4 linked regions of the Lepisosteus oculatus genome follow. The protein of the gene in region 3 binds, or shares a complex with, the protein of the main gene of each other region. Links are inferred from orthologs where the notes say so. Each region holds a gene or a part of one and is shown on either strand. Other genes may lie near its edges.

What was found.
Region 1: bud13 (region 3) and snrpd2 share a complex: the UniProt entries of both Homo sapiens proteins name them as parts of the minor spliceosome. The link is inferred for Lepisosteus oculatus from reciprocal best matches to the Homo sapiens genes BUD13 and SNRPD2.
Region 2: bud13 (region 3) and rnf113a share a complex: the UniProt entries of both Homo sapiens proteins name them as parts of the minor spliceosome. The link is inferred for Lepisosteus oculatus from reciprocal best matches to the Homo sapiens genes BUD13 and RNF113A.
Region 4: bud13 (region 3) and snrpf share a complex: the UniProt entries of both Homo sapiens proteins name them as parts of the minor spliceosome. The link is inferred for Lepisosteus oculatus from reciprocal best matches to the Homo sapiens genes BUD13 and SNRPF.

Annotation. Positions count from the first base shown.
Region 1 is NC_090698.1:1,335,270-1,342,373, forward strand, and holds the start of snrpd2 (small nuclear ribonucleoprotein Sm D2), read right to left. Parts: upstream 3,016-7,104; 5' UTR 2,870-3,015; coding exon 2,868-2,869; intron 1,992-2,867; coding exon 1,812-1,991; intron 171-1,811; coding exon 1-170. UniProt on the Homo sapiens protein: Plays a role in pre-mRNA splicing as a core component of the spliceosomal U1, U2, U4 and U5 small nuclear ribonucleoproteins (snRNPs), the building blocks of the spliceosome.
Region 2 is NC_090723.1:1,931,857-1,939,096, reverse strand, and holds the start of rnf113a (E3 ubiquitin-protein ligase RNF113A), read left to right. Parts: upstream 1-4,227; 5' UTR 4,228-4,250; coding exon 4,251-4,353; intron 4,354-4,967; coding exon 4,968-5,047; intron 5,048-5,953; coding exon 5,954-6,052; intron 6,053-6,475; coding exon 6,476-6,583; intron 6,584-6,925; coding exon 6,926-7,035; intron 7,036-7,240. UniProt on the Homo sapiens protein: Required for pre-mRNA splicing as component of the spliceosome. As a component of the minor spliceosome, involved in the splicing of U12-type introns in pre-mRNAs. E3 ubiquitin-protein ligase that catalyzes the transfer of ubiquitin onto target proteins.
Region 3 is NC_090718.1:5,139,030-5,145,959, reverse strand, and holds the start of bud13 (BUD13 homolog), read left to right. Parts: upstream 1-3,912; 5' UTR 3,913-3,925; coding exon 3,926-4,059; intron 4,060-4,791; coding exon 4,792-4,882; intron 4,883-5,030; coding exon 5,031-5,115; intron 5,116-5,269; coding exon 5,270-5,327; intron 5,328-5,686; coding exon 5,687-6,264; intron 6,265-6,930. UniProt on the Homo sapiens protein: Involved in pre-mRNA splicing as component of the activated spliceosome. As a component of the minor spliceosome, involved in the splicing of U12-type introns in pre-mRNAs.
Region 4 is NC_090702.1:41,356,316-41,364,112, forward strand, and holds snrpf (small nuclear ribonucleoprotein F), read left to right. Parts: upstream 1-4,779; 5' UTR 4,780-4,886; coding exon 4,887-4,889; intron 4,890-6,366; coding exon 6,367-6,492; intron 6,493-6,872; coding exon 6,873-6,937; intron 6,938-7,415; coding exon 7,416-7,482; 3' UTR 7,483-7,747; downstream 7,748-7,797. UniProt on the Homo sapiens protein: Plays a role in pre-mRNA splicing as a core component of the spliceosomal U1, U2, U4 and U5 small nuclear ribonucleoproteins (snRNPs), the building blocks of the spliceosome.

The sequences.
Region 1 (7,104 bases), on a different chromosome or scaffold from region 3:
TTCCGGTGATGAGGGGGTTCCTCAGCACCACGATGACCGAATCACCCCGCAGGAACATCTTGGAAATGTAGCGGTCCTTGTTAACGGGCTTGGACTTCTTCTTTCCCTTGCCGCTCTTCGGAACCTCGGTCCACATCTCCTTCACGTTCTCCAGCACCATGTTGCAGTGCCTGCGAGGGGGGAGAGGAGAGACGGGGGTCAGTGCGGATGAGGCGCTCTCCCGGGGGCTTCGGAGATGCTGGTCCCTCCACCCCCCCGGACGCCAGGAGAACACGAGTCTGGTTTCAGTGTCCATCATGCGGGCCTGGTCGCGTGCGGTGTGACCTTGCAAACCAGCAGGAGCACGTTGGTAAGCTGATAAGTAATGTCCACATGAGACGCTCTCCTCACGCCAGCTACAGGCCTTGGGACAAATTCCCCTTTCTCCAAAGAAAAAGGATCAAATTACAATAATTTCTCAGTGGGGAATATCAATCTTTTCCAGTTTGTTGTTGACCAAATAATCTTAATCCAATGTACACTTACAACACACTGAGGACTGGAGGATGATTTTGTTCCAGTTAATAAACTCAGACCCATCTCCTCTGGTATCAGCCCACCTGAGCTCTTCCTCAGCATCAACAACTCATAAGCATTCAGGTGTTTGGATTTTAAGCAACTGGACAATGAGGACTTATTCCTAACGTGCTTTATAACAACAAAAAATAAACCATAAAATAAAATATATACCATATAGTTAATTCCAGCAACAGGCATGCAATAGTTTGGTAGTAAAATTGTGGAGGATTTGGTTTGCTAAATACAGCACAACACCCTGAGAGGTTTGAAGAGTCAGAATTTATTAAGCTCTGGAATTGTCACCACCTGACTTAGATTAACGAGTCAATTAGGTTCAATTCACGGTTTTATTTTTCCAATCTGTTAAATTCAGCAAGTAAATAGTGACTGCACTGAAATCAGCAGAAATATGTCGAGTTTAAGTTTGTTCGCTGCAGAGGTTTTGTTAACTTATTTTCACTTAGAAAATGAACAAAACACGTAATGTGGCCTGGGGCGCCCAGATGTTTGCATACAACCGTATAAGGTTAAACTTACAGCAGGGTATAAATGCAAGCAAGGAGGGGGTATTTCTCCTCCAGGGCTAGGAGCCACTGAGTTACATCAGCGAGGGAAATAAAAGACACGACCGTCTTCCAAGGGAAAGGTTATTACCACAGCTGCCTGTGACTCCCTGAACTAGGGCAGAAAATAACAACAGGGTGCCTTCTTATTTCAGCAACAGGCGCGATGGGACACAGGCACCTCTGCCTGGGAGTGCCAGGAGCCCAAGGAGGTCTGTTATCTATGCTATCAAGCCAGCAGTCAATAATAACCATCCTGACTGATTCGGCATCACAGAATAAATGGAAAATTTGTCCAGAACGCCGGGGAAACACCCTGGGATCTTTAATGACCACAGAGAGTCAGGACCTCGGTTTTATTCATCTGAAGGATGGCGCCTTTTTTACAGTATAGTGTCCCTGTCACTATACTGGGGCATTAGGACCCACATGGACCGCAGGGTGAGCGCCCCCTACTGGTCCAACCTCTTCCGGCAGTAAACAGTTTTTCCCCGGAGTCTCCCATCCAGGTACTGACCAGGATGACACTGCTGAGCTTCAGCGGGCTGCCAGCGGGGAGCTGCAGGGTGATAGAGCTGCTGGCCATCCTAGTTTAAATCAGCCATCAGTTACACAAAAGGGCTGGCGGCTGCCTCCCGGAGGAGCCGGGATGGGGGGGTGTGTGCGGGACGGGGCGGCGGCGGCCCGTACCTGTCGAAGGCCTTAACGCGGCCCAGCAGCTTCTTGTTGTTGCGGCAGTTGATGAGCACCTGCGTGTTGTTTTTGACCGACTGGGTGAGCACGGACAGGGGCCCGGTGTTGAACTCCTCCTCCTCGCGCTTCTGCAGCTCCTCGGGGGTCATCTCCGACTTGGGCTTGTTCAGCAGACTCCTGCCCGCGGGAGAGAGAGAGGGAGAGATCAGAGGGGCACTGCGCTGCACTTAACGGCCAGGCAGAGAGACAGCAAGACCGGCACTGTAAAAAAGCTCCAGAGGGGATCTGGGCCAGCGTGTGAGTTTAACTCTCGCCTGGGTCGGCACATTCCACACATCCCTGACTTCTCTCTGGACTTCAACCTCAGATTACCGCTCCTCTGGATACCTCCTCACTTGCCCTCTTATTATTCTCTTCACAAACCAGTTGGTCCATAGTCATCCTCCTTTCCTCTTCCTCCCTCACACACGAGGAAGGCTCCGCAAGCGAACTGTTGGGATTTTCTATTTTCCAGATTGGGACTTCTTTACTCCGTTTTGCAAGAAAAAGGGTATGCATACCGGTATTAAAGTTTGTTCGATATGTGTTTGTTCACTACTAGTTACCAAACGGCATCTTCCGTGACACTGTAGAAACCTGCAGCCGAATATACAGCCCAGGAGAGAGTAATTATGAGGATCGCTCCCAGCCAATTAAAGTCAAACTGTTATTTAAAGTTTACGTTTGCGAAACGACTACCGTGAACACCCGTATTTCTATACAACCGTGCTCCGAGCTCAGCAGTCTCGGCCCCGTTGCTAAATGCAGGAAACACACGACCGTAGCGCGTAGGTCAATTCACAGCCGAGGAAATGCAAGACTGTGGGCATTACATGATAAGAAATTAAAAAGAAAACACCCCACGCGGGATTTGAGAACCACGATGCTTGACCGAAAACGCGCTGCAAGCTTTAACAAAGGCGCCGGCCGCCTCCATGGGCTTCAAACACGGCGACGCGGTTCACATTAACATCCGTCCCCGACTGAATTTACAACAAACTACTGCTTACTTACATGTTTTTTACTTGGCGATGTTAATTATAAGACGAAATGTTTACTGTGTTGAAAATAATTCGCCAAAAAACAACCCCTCTTCCCACCAGCGCAAGTCCACAGAACTACCGTCCGCTCCTTCCACTTTCTACAAGCGCTTCCGGGTTACCACGCAGGCGCTCTGCACACTTCCGTTCGGAGGCCGATCTCTCGCGAGCGCACGGTGCCCGTCTCTTCGCGCACGGACTTGGCAGGAGCCGTGAGTGTCACCCAGAGCGTGTCATCCACAGCAACGTTTAAAGACTGTAGGCTTGCAAAACTTTGTTAGTCATCTTAGATTAATAATGTGAATGTTAAATTTAAGGAGCTTGTTATCATGTTATGCTTTTCAATATGTAATATCGAAAAATATTTATATTTAATGTTGTTAATAATAGGTAAATATCACATTCAAAAACAAAAAGGACTAATGCTACCCCTCCTCTAATGCTAACAAGCCCAGAATGCCATATCACTTAAATTACAATAAGTACGTGAAAAATAACTCCGGCAACATATTGTTCTGTGTTTTTTCCACTTGACTTTTTTGGGTACCCTTTCTCCTTATATGTGTTATTTGATGTTCATTAAAACTTTGAAAAAATGTTTTTCTTTAATGATGTTCATTAAAACAATGAAAAACACACATGTTTAGGGAGACACTTAAATAAAATATATTTTGTCCAATTTTTTACTAAACTAGTAACCTTTCTACTGTTTAATAAGTATTTTGTAATGAAGTGTGTGATGAATTCACTGTCTATGGTGGTACAGTCAGTATTGCTCCCTCACAGTGCTGGGCCCCAGGGTTCAGTTCCAGACCTGGGGTACTGTCTGTGTGGAGTTTGCAAGGGTAAACTCCAGGTGATCCCGTTTCTTCCCACAGCCCAAGGACACGTTGGTAGTTAATTGGATTCTGGGAAAATCAAGGCTGGTACGATTTTGTCTGTGTGGCTCAGTGATGGACTGGCATCCTGTCCAGGGTGTTCCCTGCCTAGTGCTACTGCTTCCTGGTCCCAACTGATCCTGAATTGGATGAAGCTGTCAGAAAACGGATGAACAGAAAAATAAGTATCAGGGCTGTACACAGTGCACAGATTAGTTTTGATAAAAATAACTATAGCTTCCTTGCAACATCAATAATAAATGCATTTGTTTCCTATTTTGTGATATGTTCAACAATTTCCAAAACACTCCATTTTATGGTAGGCAAGACAACTTCCAAATGAAACAAAAGCAGTACACTGCAAGACATATAAACCGTAATTGTTAACTCAAACAACAGCACACAGAGATGGCTCTTTAGGAAACACTTTTTTGGTGTTTCCATTTCCTCTCAGCTCTCAGAGATGTTCAGGCTGGATGAGTTGTTGTCTGTAACTGTCCCTGTGTGCGCGTGTGGGCGAGTGGGTGTGTGATATCTGAGAATGTCTGATCTTCTGCATGTGGTCTCATCTTGCATAATACAATTGATGAAATGTCAAAACCCACTCAGCGTTCATAAAATGTATTCAGTTCTGATCACCACACAGAACAAAAGAACGTTATCATTATCACAGTGCAGAATGAGCTCAGTGAAGAGTGACTAGAATGATTCCTAGTCTCAAGGGATTGTCCTAGACGTGTTCAAGGAACTAAATCCCTTCAGTCTAGAGCACAGGAAAATCAGATGCAATTGGTGTTTAAAATACTAGAAGATCTAAAGATAGGGTCAAATAGATTAGAATAATCCAGAATAAGAAACTCTTCTTCAGCCAGAGTGATGCAGATTGCTGAGGCCCAGACTCAGAGGAGACTTCATAAGAGGAGGAGCCCAGAGTTTCTGATGGACAGCTCAAGACCGTGCAAGAGGTCCAGAGGGGAGAAGGTAGAACAGAACAGCGCCCCTCCTTCCTACTGCGCAGGCGAGGGAGGGAGGGGCGGACTGGAGCGGGAGGGGGCGAGGCCGCACACACAGGTGTCCCTTTGTTGGGAGCCGGAGAGGAGAGGGAGATGGGTATCTGTGCTGGCTCAGGAGCCGGAGAATGCCCTGCCATTGTAAAGGCGCAGGCAGAGGCCGCTGGGGATTGGCTTACTGGCACGAGACAGCCCGGCGCCTGGGGGGCTGCCCAGCGCCTCCCCTCCCCTCCCTCGCTCACCCTCTTCAAACGCGGAGCTCGTCTCCGACTGCGCGCCTCTCCGGTCTCCCCGTGCTGCCCAGAGCCATCGCAAGAGCTACCGCCTGCAAGATCCCATTGAACAGCACAGGAGACAAAAAACCACCGCGCGACCACAGGAGCAGCTGACTGGCCTGGTAGAGTGGACATCAAAAAAGAGCCACATGAGAGCTCTCCGAGCCCTTCGGCAGCCTGCTGACTGCTCAAGGGGTGTGTGACACTGATCCCAGGAAGCTCAGTGTCTCCCACTCTTCCCATCACCCCTTGCAGGCCTCCAGTGTATGCAGAGCCTCCATGCTGTCCGTAAGAATTCCGCTGGCCCGGAATGAATCACATCCTTCATTCAGCCAGCAGGCAAATATTACAAACCCGAAGCGCCGGGAACGTTGCGTCGCATTTGCAGGTCGTGTGGCACCCTGCCAGCGGCTGTGGAGCTGGCAACGTGTCAAAATCCCACCAGTGCATTATTATCGAACAAACGTGTTGAGAAACTCAAAGCTCCGTACAATAGCCCAGGTCAACACAGCACGGCGACAAAGGAAAGGAGTAAAGCAGCACAGACTGATCCAGTGAGACCAGGAGTGCAGACGCTGAGGGGAGGTGATGGGTGTTTAAGCCACCAGTGGCAGTGAATTCCACAGGTGCAGAGCGTCCTGTGTGGGGTTTGCGATGTGCAGCAGACAGCAGCTTTAGTGTTTGCCTTCGTCTCTTGATACAGCAACCTCAGAAAAATGGCAGCCTTGTTTCCATACGGCTTTCAGACCAAAAAAAAGGAATTCCCATTTCTGAGCGATCCATCACACAGCTTTCCAGGAGCAGAGTCCTTCCCCCAGGTTTTGCGTCAAACACACTGTTAGACCCTCATGTCCATATGACAGCTGGGCAGCACACTCAAGCCTCCTTCTCCTTCCCGCAGGGGAGAGAGATCACAGTGAAGCCTGAAGAATCGGGGTGAAGGTGTGGCAGAGCAAGGTGGAAAACCGTGCCAATTGGCCACATCTGTCATTTTACTGGGGCTCCAGTTCTCCCTTGTAGGGCATCTTCTCCCCGACAGCGCCACCCACTGGTTCTCCTGCAGTCTCTGAATCCGCTCCCGGAGCAGGTTGAGCTTCTCCAGCACATTACTCATGGAGGCTTCTGATAATGTGGGTGTGTTTATGAGCAGATTAACTTACGTAAAGGCAGGTTAAGAAGTACCGAGCTATTAAACCTGTTTTTATCTTCATTGCTGACAGCTATTCAGGCAAACTCATGACCCCTGATTTAGGTATCTAGTGCCAGCAGCGGAAACGCAGTCTCTCTCTTCTCCTGTGCTGGAGGTCTGAACCAGCGGCACGCTGCGCCAGCCTGGCCTGGCCCTGTCCTGTCCTGTCCTGTCCTGGCTCTCTCCAGGCCCCATGGGCTGGTCTGTCCTGTCCTTTGGGAGAACAGTGGGCACAACAGATGCTCTCAGGCGCCGTCACAGCAATCCGGCTGCAGACCAGTCAGATGATGATTTACAGTCTCCCACATCAGGACAGTGTTGAGTAATTAGCTCTGTACGACAGCAGCTCATTATTTATCACCATGATTAATTGTCGACCAGCTCAAATTACTGCAGCCTCGGGACTTTGTGGGTTTAGCTCACCCACAACCTCTCTCTCCCTCTCTCTTTCATTCTCCATTTCCCATTCACACTCTCTCTCTCTCAGTGCTTTGTGAATCTCCTTCTCTTCTATCATTTATAGAAACCTCTCAGCCCTGGGCAGACAGTGCAGGTGGTTGTAAAATTCTGCCGATGCACAGTGTGTCAATAACCATGTTTTTCTTCCTCCCACTAGAATCCATTCTCGTTCGATTCTGACAGATCAGAGAGCCACATTGACAACATCAGAACTTTGCTGTGAGTCGGAGAGCTCTCTGAGCTGCTCACCAGCAGATAAAGCAATGAGCTGCAGGCAGTAACTGACAGCCTGTTGACTGGGTGCCAAGTCTGTCCTCAGCAGCGTCTAGCTTCCTGTGCTTCTCTTCAGTGCTGTTTGCAAATCTTTCTGACAAAAAAAGGTGAGAAAAAGTTCATCCTA
Region 2 (7,240 bases), on a different chromosome or scaffold from region 3:
TGAATTGGAATGAAGTGATTAGAAAGTTGATGGACAGATAATAACAATCCTTCACGTTTTGGAGGTATCATAGATTCTAATAGATGTACTGGAGTATGGGCATGTATAATTGACAAGAATTATTTTTAATGCATTTTTTTCTGTGGTACTGAGACTTTTTTAAGACCTAGAAAGGCAAACAACATTCTTTTACATCAGTACAGTATATCATCCACAATCTGGACAGAGTTTTGCTATCTACTAACCACGATCATATTGACCTTCTCCATTGGTACTAAAAGCAGGCAGCATCTCAGCTCCACACACACACAAAGTGAACATACACCCCACCCTGCATTAAAAAAATTCAGGACAGGTACAAATCTGTTCAACCAGTGTGAGCTAGCACTTTGTGTGAAAGATCAGTGTCTGCAAAGCCCAGATGGCCAGTCAGTTGTGTCGCTCAAGATTCTTAGAGATCTATTTAGGATTGAATTCTGGGAACAAGTCATAGGAGCTGGATTAGCCTTGAAACTCATTACTGTCTTGCTGATGTCATTGATGTTCCCACAAGTGTGAAAAGAGTACAACAGTTTCACAAGCACTGCGAGTATGCTGCTTTGTGAAGGGGGGAGGGGAGAGAGGCTCAGCCCAAACCGTTCGTGACTTGGCACCGAATTGAGGGTTTCTTGATTCAATGCCCAGGGCCGTAGATGGGTGGCAGGGGGGGTCTGATAGAAAGGGGGATTCCTCTTTGGGATACGCCTCTGTTCTCCTTTCTCTGGTCAGTCAGCAGCCTGACAAAAGAATCAAAAGACTGAGAAAGGAGGAAGGGCCCTTCTCCGCCGAAAAGGTCCCCCCGCGCGTCAGCTCACAATGGGCCTTTGTGAGAGAGGGGAGCCTCCGGCCTGGAAGAAGAGCAGAGGTGGCGGTTTGGGGAGGGGGGGGCAGGAGGTAAAGGGGATCAGACAGCTCCTCATGGAATTACACGCACTTGCACATGTTGTATGGATACTAATAAAATAATTACTATCTTCACCCTGCTCCAACCTTTTTCTAACAACTTCAACCACTTCAGGGTTGCAGGGGAGCCAGAGCCTATCCTGGCCAGCAACCCTGGACGCCAGTCCATCGCAGGGCAGGCACACACAAACATTCACAGCAGCTACACTTTTCCCCCAAACCCAGTAACCTACCGGTATGTTCTTGTACTGTGGGAGGAAACTGGAGCACCCAGAGGAAACCCCTGCAGACACAAGGAGAACATACACGCTCCACACAGAGCACACCGGGTCCAAAACTGGACCCAGGGCACCAGCACTAAGGAGTAGCAATGCCCACCACTGAGCAGCTTTGTCACCTGAAGTCACCCAACTCCAACTCGTTAATGTCTGAATAAGTTATGTATTGTCACTCAAAATTCCTCCATCCACTTTTTTCAGTAAACATATACAATATACACGAATAGCTGAAACATTCAGTTTCTTACAGCAATATAATTTGGACATGTCACAGGTCTGTGTTGTAGGGGCAAAAGAGGTCCTTGTGTGAGACTCTTATGGGTTAATACATTCAGTGGGCACCCAGAATCAGGCAGGGATCTAAATTGGCTACAAAGGCTTGGAATATTTTTTTGAATATTTTTTCCTAAAATAATGTTAGACTTTTCTTTTTCAATTATTGAGCAGGATCAAAAACTATATTTCAACTAAAAATAACAGTTCTACATAATGTCAAATCTGACTCTGTCCTGGGCTTATTACTTCTGATCTGGCTCGAGTGTGTTTTAAACAGATACCTACTGCATATGACATATCAGAAAGAAGAGTTCCCCGTGACACCTCAAGAGTAACTGAAAGGCGGGGTTAAACACTGGGAATAGCCCCTGTGCCATAAGTGGAAATATCTGCTCTGATTCCCATACGATTGGTAATGGTCACTCATAAACCCCCATTCATGTTAATAACATCGAAGGACCATGGTTAGAAATCACCGCAACTCTGCTGGAATCTGCTGGACACTGTGGGAGATGTTTTTGTCACAAACTACACTAATCCCAAGCCTTCACTGAACTGTGCTGTGACTCCTTGCATCCCTAAAAGAGGCGATCCGTTCCAAGGACCAAGTGTTTTAATGAGGACTGAAGAATGTCAGACCCAATTGAACCTGTGTACGCTGAGCCCCAGGAGGGCTGATGGCACGCCAGCTCTCTTTCTGGATAGTGCTGACCTGCACAAGTGCGCGAGAGAAACTCCGCTCCACTGAAGAGACGGCTCTGTGCAATATCTGCACTCTCGCTATCCAGGGAACTACTTGTTCTGTTTTCGGCTTTTCTCCCTCTGTTCCAGAGATCAAAGACATCCTTCATTTGTCACAGTGCAAAGAAAAGTCAAATGAGAGTGATTTTTTTTTTTTACCGCTAAAAGCACAATGGCCCCCTTTCAGGGATGTGCCTGCATTTACTAGCACGGCTGATTTAAAGGCTGGTCCATTCTCCCACGAAAGCCGTAGCTGGTGGACATTTGTCAAGACAGTGTGACAGCCCTGCTCGGTGTCACCCGGAGAGCCATGAACCGGAGCCACAGGCGAAAAGAAACAGTTCCCTTGTTTTAGTGTGGTTTACATCCAAGATTTACTGCCTCTATTCATCTCCTGACTATTTACAACCGCATGTGGACCAAATTGAGCTCATCAAGTGAAAACCCATCTGATTTCCCATCACTCAGCTGTGGTTTCCGCTCTCATGTGGTCGTCCTGTCACTCTTGGCTGTTTTTTTTTTGCACTGCCACAAGCGTAACTATTGCTGCTTGTTTATATTAACTGCATTTTACTTCCTTTTCATTGCCATTAAAAAGCCTGTTAAAGCATGCACACAAAAGGGTGAATATAAACATTTAATAAATGCTATGGTTTGTACCGTTGCTGGCAAATGCTAATTTATCTCATCTGAAACCACTCGTTTTCCTCCTGCGTTCGGAATAACAAAGTTGGGAAACAGTGCATGGGCACAGTGGTCAGCATTGCTGTCTTGTAGTGCAGGGCTCCTGGGTTCAGTTCCTGGGGTGGAGTGTGTATCTTCTCCCTGTGTTTACGTGGTCTGATCTCTGGGTGCTCCGGTTTTCTCCCACTGTCCAAAGACACACTTGTGTGTTAATTGGCTTCTGGGAAAATTGTCCCTGGTGTGTGTGTGTGTTTGAGTCTGTGTGCTCTAAGATGGACTGTTGTGCCGTCAAGGGTGTACCCCCTGCCTTGGACCCATTACTTAATGAGATGGACTCTGGCTTCCCTGCAAGCTTGTATTGGTAAACGGTTAGCAGACAGATGGACGGATAAACATTTCATGTTTTTTAAAACATTTCTGCTATCTCTTCGCATGTCCTTTAAGTGCAATTGCAAAACACAAAATGTCTAAATCCAAAGTGTAAATTTTACATTTAAGGAACTTTTATCCTGAATAAATACCAGACAATTTTGGGCTATAAAATCCGTTCACCCTTCTTGAAGTGCATTTAAATATGACCACAGGACGCTCTTCTTTAAGACAAAGATAACCGGCCTTGACTGTTGGAGCTGAATCCCTGACTTCTTTCAAGAGCTGTCTGGATGAGATCCTCTGATCAATTAGCTACATGCTACCAAAGGGGTCAGATGGGCAGGATGAGAGGTTTGTAACTTTTTCATGACAAAAGGTTGTGGCAACAGCACAGGGGATTACAGGATGTGATTTACCATCATACGGGGAGATTCACACCATCCGCTGTCGCAATCAAGCCCAATCCATCATTCAGGATCCCAACCATCCCGACCACAGGCTGTCCTCCCCCCTGCGCTCTGTCAAGCGGTACTGTACAGCTAAAGCTCAGCCCACTAGACCTAAGAACAACTTCTACCCTCCTGCAGTACACATCCTCAACACCTAACTGCAATGTCTCAAACTCAATGCACGCCTGCACTATGCACGGTTTTTTCTTTCGTTAGTACATATTTATAGTTCTGGTTGTATTATTTACTATCTTGTAATATACTGTCTTACATTGTATGGTGTTGTCTGTTGTATCGTGTATGTCCCGAGAGATCAGCGCGAATAATAAGTCCAGTGCACACGTACACGTGTAATGAGTTCCTCTACTCTCTGTTCTCCACGGATCAGAACGCTTGCTCTTGCCCGGGGCAGCTTTGGGAGGGCTTTGATGGGCTGTCACTAGATGTCGCTGTTATATTTACTGAACCTGCGCACAGTCGAGGGGGGATAGAGGCCTGAGAAATAAAAATGGCTGAAAGTGAGGAGTCTAAAGCTACCTGTACGTTTTTCTTTAAAAAAACGAACAAAAAAGTCTCTGTTCGGAAGCGAAAAGCCAGCGACAGCGAGAAAGGTAACTGCGTTGTTCTGTTTCTGTGGGTTAATCGTCACACGTCCTTCTCGTTCACCTGTGAGCATGGTGTTTGTCCACTCTTTGTGAAGAAACACATCGACGTAGTAGCAAACATACTCGTGTTTGTAGCTGCTGCAGCCCAGTGTCAGTCTGAGAAGATTGGAGCCAGTTACAACAGTCTGTAAAAGCTTTGCACGTTTTAAGGCTCAGTTGCATATACATTTTTTTTAGAATGGGAATGATTTCCTCATTACGTTCAAACTCCACTGTATCGGCTTAGCGAAGAAGATTGAAATGACAAGAAAATGTTTAGAGAACGTGACAAACTTTTCAGTTTTTCATAATACATAAGGAGATAAACTATCAGAAAGTTAACAATCTGTTGGACGATTATTGGTTACATGATACTAGTGTAGACTCAGGCAGTTTAACATCATACAGGACATGGTATCCATAACCTTAATCTATCACATTATGTGAGTCTACCCTGCTGCTAGTCTGTCAGGCTGCCCTGCGATAATGGTGCCTGGTCATGTGTTACGTCTGTGTTATCTCTGTTAAAGCTGCCTGTTTAAATGCAGTCATGCCTCTGTATTTGCCCCGTCCTGCCCCAGGTAGCAGCAGTGATGAAGGAGGACATGCAGTGATACGACGGGAGAAGAAGGCCACTATTGCCAATCCCATGATCCAGGGGGTAAGATTCCAGGTTTGGAATGGGAATGTTAGGAAATGCAGTAGAACTATTTCCTGTGCCTTTGATACCACTGACACACTGCCTATGAGCATTGCTGATAAAATGAAAAAAGGAACTCTGTAGGTTTCATGCTATTCATTTTTATTTTAATTAAAGGAAAAAGAAAGCGGTTTTATAGACTAATTCCCCTCCGTATGGTGTTTCCATTTCAGGTATTAGAGGTTTGCACATGCTGGTTAATCATACTTTATATTTTAAAATATTTGATGCCATATGGATCATTTATCAAAGACAAAGATTTATTAAATCTCAGAGTGAGATTTAGGCTGATTTCAATTTGCATGCTCTTTTGGTACACACACCAGGAAAAAATCTGGCTTAAATCATGTCTGTCCATTTAGCATATTGTTACATGTTTTTTTTTAATCATATAAAAAGTGGCAAATGTTAAAGTATTATTTAATGGAACAGTATAAAAAAACATGCATAGTTGCATTTTTTAAATTTCCTCATTGTGAATAAAAAAAAACTTATATCCTATCCTCCATAGACAGCTGTGTGAATTTAATATTGTTCTTTTTATCAGTACAGGCAGTAGAGCCTGCAATGGTAAAACCTGAAAAGTATCAAACTGTTGTGCAGCAGTGGCCTTAGCAGTGGTCCTGTTCTGTAGCTTGGTTGAATTACCCCAGTTTTAACTAAGGCTGATACAGTAAATCACGTGAAAGTCCACTCATTTACAAGAAGTGGTATAGCTCTGAAATATTACTGGTATACAGAGTGGGAAGCTCATCCTTTACCTTTGATCTGCCGGCTGTGACACGAACACACAGACTCCTGCACGGAGAGCTCTGGCGTGTTCTCAGATCTGTTCTGAGTGCTGTCCTTTTCCTCTTGCTCTTTCAGACCAAGAAGGCGGAGAAAGAGAAAGTAGCCTCCAGTGACAGCGAAGGTGAAAAGGAGGATCAGAAGATGACGATAGCTTACAAATCCACCAAATCTGCTGTGAGTCATCTGCGAGATATACAAAAACCTGAATACCCCTCTGTTAAAGACTATGTGTAGTAAATTTCCTGACTATACTAAAATGTCCACCAAAGACCAGATAACCCTTGTTTTGATATCTTTCATTCCATTGATCATCAACAGGTAAACCTTTGGTGCTTTGGGGTGAGATTATGTTACTGAAACCATGGGATTCGCTTGAATATTTAGAACCAGGCTGGAAATGTCATTATCCATCAATGACTGGGATTCTTAAAGAGGAGGTACTAGAACAGCGACACTATGGATCTGCTGGGTACCTGCAGGCTGTCAGTGACATCAGTGCTCCACAGATTAGCACCGACTCTTCCTTAAGGCTGAGGTTCAACCAGTGTCTTTAGGGACTCATTTGATCTCTTCCTGTTTTTGTCCCCAATGTTGCAGAAACCAGAAGGGCCAGAGGACATGGGTGCTACAGCGATCTACGAGCTAGACACGGAAAAAGACAAGGATGCTCAGTCCATCTTTGAGCGCAGCCAGAAAATCCAGGAGGTAATCATCCCAGTGGTCATTGGAGAAGAGAAAATTTCTATTCTTGGTTCACAAAATCAGAAAATTGGCTCTCCTGGTACAGCCTATCTTTTAGAGCTATTTAGTCCTTACCTGTTATTCTGTTCACTTCAGTTTCAACTGGCTATCAAATGCAAACAAATGTACATATTAATATAATATTTATGCTACTAAAAATGAGCAATTTTCTAAAGCAAATAATTGTTTAGCAACAAAAACAAATTTCTCCAATCAAAACAGGATCTAAAATAAAAAGACATAAGTTTTTCTTTTCCAAGGAAGTACTTGACAAGCTGTCAAAGAAAACCCGTTTGTTTCCATTAGGAACTGTCAGGGAAAGAAGATGACAAAATCTACCGAGGAATAAATAATTACCAGAAGTTTATCAAACCCAAAGACACATCCATGGGGAACGCCTCTTCAGGGATGGTCAGGTATGTTTTGGAAGATGTGGCTGGAGAGGGTAGCTAATATTCATTAAAAAATGGTAGTGCATCACACAGAGAAAATGTAATGAACTCTGTTCTTACCGAACCGAGAGCTGGAGTATGGCATAGGGGTTAAAGAGCAGTACTTCCACGAGGCAGTGAGGTGGACCGAGGTGCACGGCGGAGAGAATACGCAGGCGGGCAGGCGCGG
Region 3 (6,930 bases):
AGGCTCTGACAGCAATAGAGGCTGGAAAAGAAGATGTTCATGACCAGACTCGTTAGACGCTTGTTTTCCTCGAACAAAGTTTTATTTAAAATTATGAACGAGCAGTGCACCCTCTCCATACCCACAAAACTGCTAAAGAAAATGTGAACAAACAGAGGGGGCTACTGTTAATTCCATAAAAACAATTCCAGAAAAATATTCTTAATCATATTCGTTACCCTTTTACACCTGACTTGCCAATAAACAGTTTAGTCCATTTTTAACACATGATCACATTAAAACTTGTTCAGAAAGTCTTGATATATAATATTCGTGGGTCAAAGCTCCACAGCCGAAACATGTTTCTTTTCTTCTCTTTTCAGCTGGAATAAACCTGTACTTTTTCCTCTGCAGCCCACATATGCAGACGCAGCTCCCTACGTGAACTACTTCAGTGTATATATATATAAAAGCATGAATATTAGATATCAATAGATGTTAATTTATATCAAGTAGTATAGATTGGGATATTTATAAAATTGTATGTAACTTCTGAATAAAGTCTTATTTATGGAAATAAATAATTTGTTTATTCTTTTAAAAATACTTAAACTATCATCATTTGAAATTCAGTGAAAAATTACTAGATGAAAAGACCATCAAATGTTTGAGGAAGAAGTCAGTGGAGTCGTCTTACTGTAAAAAGTCCAACAGTTAAGTCATTTTCCAAGAAAGGGTGTTTAAATACCTCCCTACAAAAAATATTCAAAATATTTGCCCATGAAGAATGTTAGTTGCGTTTACCTTAAATTTCTATATTTTGCTTTCAGATATTTAAAATTAGGAACATAAAGATGTTACACAGTTTTTTGTTCTATAGAAAAAAACGTCTCAAAGTTTCTGTATGGACACATGGTATTAATATATAAAACTCCTGTCCTCAAAACCAATCGAGGGATAAAGAAAAGCAGGTTTTAGAAGTGTATGTGAATATGAAAAATGCCACATTTCCTTAAGAAAAAACGAACACACTCATCTTTTATCGCCAATAACCTTCTCAAGAACTTTTTTTGCTTTTGCTTTTTGATAATGGCTTTTACATGTTTTCCTTCCTCTGCTTAGATTTAACTTTTATTTCCAAATATATTAACACAATGTGAGAGAGAATAATATGATGTAGTTTAGGTATCCAATTAAACCTTAACATACATTTGAAAGATTTTAAGTACAGTATTTTAAAAACCTTTGTCAGGTAAATAATGTTTAATGTAGATGTTTACTGGTGATAAGATGCACACTGTACTTATAAATTAAAATAAACACCCCCACAAAAAAAACTTTGTGTCAGTCAAGAAATGAAACTGAAACCATTTTACTTTATAAACCGATACTCCTAACTGTGCCCAAAGATCTGGACTAAATTAAGTTAAAACAAGATTATATAAACATTGGCTTTCAAAATAAAAACAAATAAAAAAATACAATTACAGTTTATTCAATCTCATCCATGACACTCATGATTTCCAAATTTCTGGGTATTTCGTTATTAATAGAGAAAACAAATTATGTTCTTCATTAAAGCAGTATATTTTATCCTTATTGAATAATTAAAACATTTTTATCATCAATTTATTTTATTGTTATATAGAGCCTTTTCAAGACACTTTTCATACATTGTACAGTAAAAACAAGTATAGTATACAGAATACATAATAAAACCAGATATCATTTTAAAAATGAAAAGAAAGAAATAGATGAAGAAGTAAAGGCTGCCAAAAATGATAAGCTTTAAGGAAAACGTCAACACCATAACAATTACAGAATTTCTGTATGAAATGAAAAGTGTAAAAGTGCTACACTGCAGTAGTAGACAACACCTAATGGCACAGTTACAGTATAAAGTAGCATATCAGGTAGTCCAGGTGGGGGGCTGCGTCAGCATGCGTAGTCTGCAAAGGAACAAGTAACAGGTTTGTTCCATGCTGCTGTTTTCTCTCTTCTCTTTTCAGCATGGAATAAACCTATTACTTGTTCCATATCATATAAAGTACATTCAACCTGATATAAGTGAAGAATCGTTTTTTTATCAAATAAAACCTTATTTAACAAGATGAGTCAGCTGAGAGCACATTTTCATTTACAATGACAAGCTGGAGAGTCTTCATTAATACTGCAATCGGAGTGCAGCTTCCTCCCCAGGAGTACGATAGCAGCATGGCTCCAATCCAGAGTGATTCATCCTGTTGTACAGATTATATCAAGGCCCACATTGTTGGAATCCCCATTAGAAAACCACACCCTTAGCAGTACTCTTGGTCACAGCAAAGAAATGAAACTGAAACCTTTCCACCAAAGAAAAATGAGTTTCTGAACATGCAAAAACAATGTACAGTAAATGGAGTTAATTTATTCTTTGTCTAATATCCTCAAAATCATCCTGGATCACACGGACCTCTAAATAGTACAGTACTGTATACCGTCTGTGCTGTTCACTTGAGCTGACAATTCAAGACATTGCTTAGATTTATACACTTCCAATAGACAGAGAAGACAGAGACACAGACCAACAGTCTGACATACAGTAAAGTTAAACAGCTAAACAGAAAGATATTTTCATCTGAACACCAGATTTCCCTGATCATTTAGCATTGATTTTAGCAACCCGTACAACTTTGTACTTTGAACAGTGGGGTTGGCTGATCGCTATAAAAATATATTTATAGTTTTCCGTTTCTGATTAGGAATTATACTGTAGGTTATTAACGGTGTAAAGATAATCTCCAGGTTTTGTTCTTTGTTTTAGACTTACATGTGAGTTCAAATAGAAAGATATTTTTATCTGTACACCAGATTTCCCTGATTGTTTAGCATTGATTTTAGCAACCTGTTCAACTCTGTGAGGAAACGCAACATTAAGTATTTAGTCATTACTAATTAGAATACAGTATAAGATTATAAGAACAGTTACTGTTAAAACAAGAGGTGGCCATGCCCTGTGATTAGCCCATTTGGTAGTTATTAGTTAATTGATCTGGAAGAATCTCATCCAGCCATTTCTTGAAGGAAACCAGAGTATCGGCGTCAAGTTCTCCTGTTTTCTGTTCTTGGAGTTTTCACTTGTGTCCCTGTGGCTTGTGTTTCACTGTTTGTTTTGGAGTCCCTTGAGAAAACTCCTTCGGCAGCTTGGAGAATTTTGAATACTTGTATGAGCTCCCCTCATATTCCTCTCTCCTCGAGAAGAATAGACATGCATCCCAGATGGGCAATCTCGTTGAAATGCTACAGAACAGCAGGTTTTATAGCTTTTACAGCTGTGTATTAAATTGTCCATCCCCAAACACTTTAGGACATTTAATACTTCAGTAATAAATATTATTTTTTATTTCACAAGGCAGCAATGTCATCGGTTTAGAACGAGTAAGAAATGAACATTCTGAAACGAGTGACATCAATATTACATTTAAAAAAATAAATATAGCTCAATAACTGGTGGCAAAAAAAAGCGTATCACTGCCTAATTTTATGAATACCTGGAATGTTATTAATCATATTCCTTTTTTGGTTTTTAGTCTTAAATATTTGATTAGGCAACGTTTCCATTAGAGCAATAAGTATAGCAATGAAAGAAACAAACAGCTTTCAATTTATGTTTCAGTTCTGTGGGTGAGACATTATTGTAATAACCTAGTACTGTGTCCGAGTATTGGATAAAAACACTAAAAGTGAGTTTGATTTAACACTGCAGACTTTTTCAGAATGCATGTTCTAAGATACAACTACAAATAAACTAATAATAATACCTATGTTTTGTTGTGGCTGCTTTGAAGTATTTATCCTTTACTTTTTCTCTTATTCGTAATTCCGCTTTTCGCTGTTTATTTTTTCGCGTTTACTGTTTTGACCCCATCCGGCTCTCCGTCAGCCCGGATTGTTTTCACGAGCAGTAATGGCCGCTTCCAGTGCGCTTGCTTCTGTCTCCAAAGCCGAGTATCTCAAACGCTATTTATCCGGAGATGGAGATGGCAAAACGTCAAAAAACAAGAAAGCCAAGAAGAAAAGACCGCAGTCTACAGCAAAGGGGTATGTTTCAGGAACCAGTGACTCAATCAGGCACATTAGAAATGCAGAAAGTGACTGAAAGTTGTAGGCCGGACTAAACTTACTGAGATACTGGAGTGGAGTGTATGAGCGCAATCGAGAGCGTTGTCTTGATTTTACCTCTACGAGCCGCATAAAACGCTACAGTACTGTATATGTGAGGTTATATTCTCAATAACCCAGGTTGTGGAAGTCTTGAGAAATGTATTTTTGAAGCTGTGCTGTGGGGTCTGATCGTTCTGTTGTGGGAAACTCGAAAGAGGATTATTGGTCGCAAGGTAATTTGGGTCTAACATGTCCAGTGTTTTCAGCTGCAAAGGATCTCTGCTAATCTCTGTGTCGGACATGTTTTCCTGCTCCTCTGGTATTGTAGGACCAGTCTTTCTCTAAAAACTTCAGGAGTCCGGCAGAGAAGATCCTGTTGGACACCTTTCATTGGGGAAAAAGTGCTTCCTGAATGAGAACTGAGAAGGATTTCTAGGAATCTTTTAAGAGACACGTTTATGTCCATAGAAGAGCTTTTGACGATTTATCGCAATACTGTTCAAGGGAGAGTTGATAGATCACGCCTGTTTATCCACAACAGACCAACAGCTATGACTCTTTTTTTAAAGCGTTTTTATTTGTGGCAGGCTACATGTCGGTGATTACAAAAAAGAGCATTCCTGCTGTTTTTTTTACGTTTTGCCCTCCTGTTGTTGCTGCTGCTTGCAGGATGAGAATAGTGGATGACGATGTGGACTGGAAGCAGCTGATAAAGTCAGAAGAGAAGGACGACTACGAGGAGGAAGAAGAGGCTCCAGTGGTAGGAATTCCTTTATAGTTTACATTCATTTACAAATGCATTGGCTTAAACTATGTTTAGGTGCATTTCTGCTGTCCTGAACCTTGTGGAGAATCTTTGCACAAAAGCTGTTCCTTCTGCGTGCTCTGTTGTCGTCTTCCTCTTGTAGGTGGCAGAAGTGATAGATGAGCGTCCGGAGGAGGTGAAGAGACTGGAGGAGTTCAGGAACAGCAAGCGGTGGAAAACTTTGGGAGGTAAGAGTAACCGATGCTTACCTGCTCTTTTGGGGCTAGCATTCTGATGATTTAGCATCTATAAAGTTGTACTGTAATTGTCTAGGTGCATACATAATATTTGATTTGAGTTTCTAAGCAGTTTTATCAAATATTATTATGTTTGGTCTTCTAGGTACTAATGAAGATTTTCAGGATTCAGACAAGTTCCAGGGTGTCCGTTCATCAGCAAGGTACAGAACTGATGTTTAATGTATTTTAATTTTTCTTATGATTGTCTCGGCTTTGTATGTGGTACAGTTCGATGCATGTCTGTTAAAGCAGCTCAAATGCTATGAGATCATTTTGACTCACAAGAGGCACTTCCACTGTTAAATTATTAATGAAGAATGCCCCCCAAGAAGCAACACTGTTAGGAGCATTTGTTTGTCCAGGCTTTCAGTATTGGAGTATAAGAGACAATAATGAGCTGTCATTGAGTTTCTTTGGTGCTTAAAATGTGGATATTTCTAAAACATTACAGATCATAAAACAGAATACATTAAAACAAGTGTGTAACATTTGAGTTCATCTGTGTAATTGTCCATTTCAGTTCAGGAGCTGCCTCTCAAAAGAGAATAGAAGAGACATCAAGAAAAGGTCGTCATGATTCTCCAGATTTTTCCTCTGTGAAAAGGAGCCGTCATGACTCTCCCGACCTTTCACCCCAGCAGAAAGGTCGCCACGACTCTCCCGACCTTTCACCCCAGCAGAAAGGTCGCCACGACTCTCCCGACCTTTCACCCCAGCAGAAAGGTCGCCACGACTCTCCCGACCTTTCACCCCAGCGGAAAGGTCGCCACGACTCTCCTGACCTTTCACCCCAGCGGAAAGGTCGCCACGACTCTCCCGACCTTTCACCCCAGTGGAAAGGTCGCCACGACTCTCCTGACCTTTCACCCCAGCGAAAGAGACGTCACCACTCTCCCGACCTTTCACCCCAGCGGAAAGGTCGCCACGACTCTCCCGACCTTTCACCCCAGCGGAAGAGACGTCACCACTCTCCCGACCTTTCCCCATCGAGACAGAAAACTGTCCCCAGAAGAGCACGTCATTATTCCTCATCTCCTTCTCCCCCAGTTAGAAGCCACGGGGGCTCTCCAGCAAGAACTCATAAGAAAAAAGACAAAGGTAAAGAGCAATTTTACTTATGTACAGTGTAATATTTTTAGAAATAAGCCATTTGATATCTGATTATTTTATACCAGTTCCCATTCATGACCCTGTAGGGATGCATGAAATCACACCATCTGGCTTGGTTCAGTTTTGAATAAGTTTATCACAAAAGTCTCTGGAGAGTCAAGCTGTGTATAAAAAGTAATCTATAGCACATACATCACACAGTGTATATCCATCAGCAGCAGGTGACAGACCTTTTGCGTCACCATGTAAAGAGTGGAATATTGTATCAGGAAGAAGGTTTCTGTCTGGACGCTAGTACATAGATAGTCAGATAGTTCTCAGTTTTGACTGCAAAGCCGGTATTCACTTACAGGTCAGGAAGTTTGAAGGTAATTAATGGCTTTCAAAGCTTTGTCACGTCACATACGAGCAGCATGAGTTTGATTTCTCTTGTGAACGTAAACCTTTTGATAGTGTTTGCGTTGTCATTGTGTCACTCAGGGGAAACTTCAGGTTTTGTTTCTTGTTTAAGTGCGCTGTGCATACTTTTCAAGAACAGAATTGAAAAGCACTAATTTGTCTGTTGCACTATATATAAGACAGAGTAAAACTCTTATTTAAGGTTAGTATTCATGTTCTTCTAAGTAAAATACTGTTAAAAGTTGAATAGTTATA
Region 4 (7,797 bases), on a different chromosome or scaffold from region 3:
GGAAAAATACCTTGATACAAGTTCTAAAAAAAATCCTGGGTTTCAAGATTCCTTTCTGATAATAAATCAGGATGCAGCAATGTGCTACAAGACCAGCTGATTCAATATTTGTGGGCTGTTTAATTATTATTTTTTCTATAATTTGACCAAATATTTCCCGTTCAATCCCACTCTTTGCTGAGCTAAGCAGGGAGATATGTAGGACACTGAACTCTCCACACCCACTTAAATTATTACTCCACGATCACCTCACTATGGTTCACTGGCTCCCATAGTAGGGAGGCTGCCCGTGCGTTATACTGGAACATGAGGAAACTGCTACTTCGCATGCCAGCTGCCAGTCTGCCAGCTGCCAGTCTGCCAGTGCCAGACACGCACAAGCAGAATCATGCCCTTCATTGGAACTGAACAGGAGGCTGCACCCGACCAGACAGAATATTTCACACAATCTTCCGCCACAATCTTGTTACCACACCTCTCTGGTACCAGCTCCACCGACCTCTTTTTCCAGAAGGAATACATTTTCACGCAGGCCGCAGCGTCTCCTCACAGATTCCTCTGTGCCTCTGTCTTTGACAGCTTTGTCTTTTGCCCTTCCTTGTCGGCCATAGCGAACGATGAACGATTAAATGCGAGGTGGAGGGCACACATGGAAAACAAGAAAAAGTGCACTTAAAAGGTAGAACAGGAGGCACGTCTTTACCCAAAGAGCTGTGGGAGACTGGAACAAGCTAACCAGTCATGCTGTTAAAGCTGAAACCCCGGCTTGTTTCAAGAAACAGCTGGGTGACACCCTTGGATCAATGAACTCCGGAGTATTCCGTCACGCATAGGGTCTTTAACAACGCATTTCACGGGAGTCTGGCCCGGCTCCCGTGACACTGAGGTCTGCCAGCTCTCTGACATCATCAAGGCCAGCCATTCCTCCCATGAGCACTGGGCCTCCTGCTCCTCACTGCAGCGTGCTCAAAGATGAATGGTGTAATGCGTGGGCAGGCTGGAAGAGCCTGTGTGAGCAAAGATGGAATTGGCTGTTCCAAACTGGGTGGCTAAAATCAGGTCCGTGTCTACAGTAGTTACAGTTCCTCTCGCTCTGCCAGATGTGCCTGGAAATCTTACTGATGATGATAGTCTAACTAAACCTATTCATCCTTCCTTATAAGACTGCGTAAAACTTATCATCTGAGAAAAAATGAGTGCTCCTTTTATACCCTGTTAGATTTATATAAACTTTAGACTACAGCCAAACGAAGCTGTTTTTTTTGCTACGGACGCCAGAGAGGTACCATTCTTTTTCGTCACAGTGCATTTTTTACATAGATGCTTTCCTTACTTATCAAGGAGGTAGTTAGCTGAGTTGTAGCATCTGTTCTCATGTGCCATTTCCTCTAATAAGAAAAGTAATGTCTGTAAGAAAATCTCCAGATGTACAGTTGGTTGATAAATATTTTTACAGACAAATTTCAGAGCTGTACTGTGGGGGTAGGGGCCAAAAACATACATCTCTGATGGGGTTCGTGTTACATTTGAATTTCCTGCTTTATATAGTGCACATGAACTCAATTAACCTACCTGGAGTAAAATATTTTTTTTTTAGGAACAAGCAATAGGTTTATTATATGCTGAAAAGAGAAGAAAGAAAACACAATGTTTCAGCCATGGAGCCTTCTTCAGGTGTGTGGATAAATAATGGATGGATAAAAAAAAATATTTTTTTATCCACCATCCATTTTCGAACAGCTGTATCCATTTTAGGGTTGTGGGGGAGCCGGAGCTGATCCTGGCAAGCAACAGGCGCAAGGTGGGATACAGCTGGACAGGATGCCAGTCTGGGTGGGATACACCCTGGACAGGATGCCAGTCTATCACAAGGGAAACATTTCTTACCACAGCAGAAAAATTATTTTGAGCTGTAACTTTTCTCTTCAGTCTTGAACAGTGATTAACAGAAATGATTAGAGAACTGCACATCACCATTACAAATCTTCAAAGGTATGGGCAGGGTGAGCCTAATATAATTACTTTATGCTCAGCACCGCAACTCTGACCCTAAGGAACATTTTAAAGTTATGCAGAAGTGTGTTTTAGCACGGAGAACTGGGGGCAACTCCTTGCACAAAGCTGGCAGTTCATGTTCTTGAAGTCAGTACCTTGAGATTCTTCAAGAAACAGTTGGGTGAGCTCTTGGGTTATACAGCCGATATTATTCTTGACTTTCTAGACTGACAGCTTCAGTCCTTGGACATAGAGCCCTGTGGTTTTAATTCCATCACGGATTTTAACTAAATAATTCTTCGGATAAGAAGTTGAATCGCCTGCTTTTAGGGTTTTAATCAGTTGGTAACTGAAACGCTCCTGTAAAACCAGTGGAAACGTGGAGGTTCTCCAGAAGAACACGTCGTTAATTCAACTCTTTGGATGAGCAGAGCTACAAAGTGTGAAGGCTAGTAGATAGTGCCACCATCTGGTCACTTACTGAAAGCATCTACACTTTATTCATTACAGACGATGTTTTCTATCCTCATGATTATGCGCGATACGTGCCCTGATTATCTCCCGAGACATCCTGCTCGGCCGGCCAGCAAAGGCTTTATCGTTCATTGAAGACAATTATCCTCGACCCCCGAGGGTTAGCCAGTGAATAATATTTTATGGCTACTTCTCATTTACGGATAACCTTAAAGTGGTCATGACTAATTATTGAGAATATTTAAATTTCACACCTAAAAATGTAATAGTCGCTTTATTTGATCTTTCGAATAAAGGCATTCTGTGATATGTTCTAAAAATATTTACACCACATTGTCAAAGTGAAAACGGTTTCAAAACAGCATTGTGAAATTAAAGCAAGTGTTCTAAAAACATCCAATATAGGTAATAAATTTATATTTAACTGTGTTGCTAAACGAGAAATTAGAAAAAAACAGAGAAGCAAGAAAGAACAAGAATGTTTTGGGGAGAGGACGAGATCATTGTGTAATTTATGATAGCAGCAAGTTTGGGATTATTTTGACAGTTCTAATTAAACCCGAATCCCCCATTAAAAAACGTGTTTTTAAAGCCAAGCAACAAATACGTCTAATTTTATACAAATTGTTGTAAAAAGACAGAATATTTTGTCTTAATATGACATAAAATAGAAGATTCTTGAAAAAAAAACATTTTATAGTATTAATTAATCCTTAGACTTTTTTTCTAGAGCACAAACATTTCCTAAAGAAAATTAAATTTCGAAAGTAAATTTCTAATACAACTTATATTATACTTTTTAGACAACAAGCTTTTTGGGGACTTTTGGTTTGGCGTTGTTTTACTTTTTAGTAAAAGCTTTTATGTTTCTGTAACTTTCTGCATCTTTTACTGTCCCTCTCGTAGTCTGAATATACATTACAAAATGAAAGAAGGCTGTAGTCATAAGGTCGACATAAAATATCCGGTCACAATATTCAAGCAAAGCATGTGCATGGCCATAATTACCAAATATAATTCTAATGAAACATATATTGTAATGGATTCGGGTTCGGCAAGGAATGGAGCAGGCATGGGACTCGGGGAATGGGGTTGAACAACACATTTATTAACTCAAACCGGGGAAAGGTACACACACAGGGACAGGGGTTACAGCGCTGCACCTTCACTAACACACCCACCTTGCGTGCACATGGCTAAAGCGCCCTGCGTGGCGCTACATTGCCCCCAGCTGAAGAGTCGAGTGTCCCGCCGACTCCAAACCGCCCCTCCAGGCTGCTCCGTGGGCTCCTCCTCTAGCCTCTCCGTGTGGGCCAAGGACCTCCATCGGGGCAGGCTCTCCGGCCAGGCCAGGACCCTCCTGGTGGGGGGCCGACCTGAGGCGGCAGCGGCGAGGGCGCATACCCACGGGAACCCCGGATTAATACATTACGCGGCAACTCTTCTATTTCGACCAAAACTTCTAAAGCAATTCCCTTCAGTACTCTATGGGGATAGAGGGCGCTATGGAGGTGCCCTCATTGGGATGAGCCGTTGAATCAGAGTTACAGAAATTTATTTTTACAATAAAATAACAAATATACTCCAATTTGATTCTTAATGTTTCGAACTTTTTTTCGAAACGCTCAGTGGGTTCTCACAGAAACTTCCCTTATTTGCTGCCAGCCAATTGTTACCAACGACACAGAGCTTAACCACGAAGTACCCCAATCGTCAATTACAATATCTACAATATCTGTTCTCTTCTGTCATACGTATATAACACATATTTGTATGATGCGTGTCATATCACTCAATTTAGACCGGCGGTACAGTCTTTTTTCCGTTTCGCCGAGGTTTCTGTCGGTAGTGACCGTCTATGGTTGCTGCTCTAGCAAACCCGCTTGCTACAATATTACAGTCGTGGTGTATATTGCGGGGATGCGGCTCTAAGATTTCGGGACGGACGTTTTACTCCTGATAATGGGAAGCAGCATATGCAGTCAGCGTTCGGGCATGAGACAATATATTACATATTTGATGTAAGCATGATACCTCGTTTACGCACTTGTTTAACCTCAATAATTGTACCGTGCGGCCTTCTAGGACCACAATGCTTGCATGTTAATTAACATTAATGTAAGTTAGACAATGATCATGGATACCATCGTGCATTTCTAAAACATTATTGGAGACAACCATAATACTGTTCATATATCAACCTCTTCACACAGCTATTTTCCCGCACTGAGAAGCGCAATACACCCCGTAGCCAATCAAATTAAAAGGTCTAGAATGTATCCAATTAAAGTACACTTCCCCCTCGGGTTCAAAGGTGAGAGGTCGGGGTAAGGAAGTACTTCCTACTTTGGACGGTGCGGCGTGCGGTGTTTTGTATGAGACTAACAAGACAAAGGTTTTATTATTGAACGATAAAAATGGTGAGTGTGTTTGAGAGATCTCGATTTTAATTGTGATGTGCGAGTTTGCGCTTGATGTATGGTTTCAATCTGATATGTTAGCGCTGGCTACATAAATATTTCCTTTCATTTGTTCTGATGAATTACTAGGCCTCGGTACTGGATCAGAAAGTACTTTTAAATGCGTTGAGAAATCAGTTCTCCGACAGTTCTACATTTTCGATATTGATTTTGCATAAGATGTACGATATGTTTAGGCAGTGAAGGTACTGGAATTCACTATGTCGAGTTTAACAAAATTGAGAAACAGAATAGATGATCTTCCGAGTATTCCGGGCAGAAGACAAGACGTGAAAATACAGTCTTCGTGCAATTCTTAATAGGAGAAAGTTCAGGAAGCGTGGAACTTTTTTAAAACAAGTACGACCGCCCAAATCCAGAGTATATTGTTAAGGATGGTTGAAGGATGCTTTTAATCTAATCAGAATGTCTATTTTCTTGTGCAATTAAATAGTTATGTATGTGTGGAGTTGTAGTAATGGTTTAGGCTTCTGACTCCAGACCAGGTCCAGGGATTCAATTATTAAGTGTGGCTGTTGTTGTACTTTAAAGCAAGTTATTTCACTCAGATTATTCCAAAAGCGGACCTAACCTATAAATGGGTTAGGTTCGAGTCGCCAGTGCGCAGGAGGATTCATTCTCAATTGACTTGTGTGCTTAAAGACTTATTATAACATCATCCAGGTAGACCAGAACAGGCTATCATGTAGAGGAAATGCATGTAATACTGTCCATCCCTCGTCCCTCACTCACAGCAGGTTGTGCTCTCTAATGACCTTGTTGGGATTTGATAGTCTGACTAGCCAAAACATCTCTGAATCTGGATTTCTGGTCAGGCTGGACTGCAGAGTAATGCCAAAAGACATTAGACTGCAGAATCGAGATGGACACTGACCAGAATTCATCTCCCCCAGAACCTGATGTGAATTGTGTGCCACTAAAAAATTGGGGGAAAAATCAGTGTGAATGAAAAACCTTCAGTTTTTTCAGTTCATGCTGTTTCACCACAGTTTCACCACACATAAATCATTTTTGAACTCCTGAGTCATTGTATTGGAATAATAATTCTAGAAATGTATCTTACTCATTATCCTTGAAAAAATGTTAAACTGATTTTTCTATACCTAATATTGCAGTGCACGCACAACTTGTCATTTAACAATAACAGAATATTGAATAGATATAAATATTGCATTTATTGTTTTTTGTTCACTGAAAATTCAGGCCACAACGACATGTCTGAAAAGGCTAATTTGTCTTTTGTGAGGGCGTACATACAGTTTCATTATCATTCACTGGATACTTCGTTTACTTTTTTTTGTAGCTGTATTTTTTTAAGACATAGGCAAGATGTTGTCCAATTGTCTGTGAGAAAAGGGTATATTTGTTTTATCTCCCTTCACTTGGTAAGGGTTAATGGTGCTTGCTGTCTTTGTAGAGTTTGCCTCTGAACCCCAAGCCCTTCCTCAATGGCCTGACAGGAAAACCAGTGATGGTGAGGCTCAAGTGGGGGATGGAGTACAAAGGATATTTGGTCTCAGTCGATGGGTACATGAATATGCAGGTATGTAAACATGGATGCGTGGTGGAACATGGCTGCTCACATGTCTATGATGGGTATTAGGATTTCATTTTTTACATTTGACTACATTTTTGGCAGACCAGCACTGAAGAGTTTCTTAAACATTCATGCCAATGAAACTGATGATCGAAAGCACAGGGTTGAGTTTGTCCTTATGGTTACTTTTCTCATTTAGATTGGGGGGGAACAAATGACCATGTTGAATGATTATATGTGATCCTTAATGATCCTTTATACAGTATGTGTTCTGGGTGTAGTGAGTTTTACACATTACTTTTGTCTATCCTGTAAATTTTAACTTTGTAGGAAACGCATTTGTAGAGATTGATAAGTCATGTTTGTGCTCCTATTTCTTTTCACAGCTTGCCAACACTGAAGAGTATGTTGACGGAGCACTGGCCGGTCATTTAGGAGAAGTGCTTGTGAGGTAGGCAACTAAGCAGAGCACAAGAGTGCTAGTTTTTAACTTAAAAAAAAAAGTTAACTTAAAATTTTTTGAGTTGACGTATGTGGTTAAATAAAGCTTTATTTGACTGGATATTGTTAAAATCATTGAAGCATGATGATGATGAAATCAAATGAAATTGATAATGCATGTCTTTTGAATTTCATGGTGTATAGTAAGTCTTCCATAATAATTGTAATTGAGAATTAAAGAATTGGCTATGGAATCACACTAATTGTTTGATCCTAAATGTGTTGTCATGCCATTTAACAACATGTACCACTCTTCTTTGTTTTGATTCAAGGAAGGAAGATTTCAGTGAATTCTGTGTCTGCTGTATTATAATCGGCTAAAGCATGTCAGAATACGTTACAATGCATCGATTTTGTATTGGAGTAGTTGGGGAATTTGTGACCTTTGTGGATTTCCTGATGAGCAGAAATGTTCTTGTCTTGTACAGGTGCAATAACGTCCTATACATCAGAGGTGTTGAGGAAGAAGAAGAAGATGGAGAAATGAGAGAATAAAACATTGTGAAGAAATTCTTGATTCTGGGTCACTGATTTTTACATAGTAATTAGAAATGTCACTTTTTTTACGCCATATAAAAAGCCTGTGATCTGTGATAGATTCTTTGGTAGGCAGGAAGCTTGAAATGGAGCCTGTAATTTCCTACCAAAGAAGAAAAAGCTGTTTTTGTTTATGTATCGAAAACTTAACGTGGTTGTCTAACATTGTGCTTCAGGAGCAGCACTGATGTAATAAAATTGTGCATATTGCACTTTCTTAGAATTTGTGATTGAGTATTTTTTAATGAACCACAAGGAATGGTTAGAGTGTTT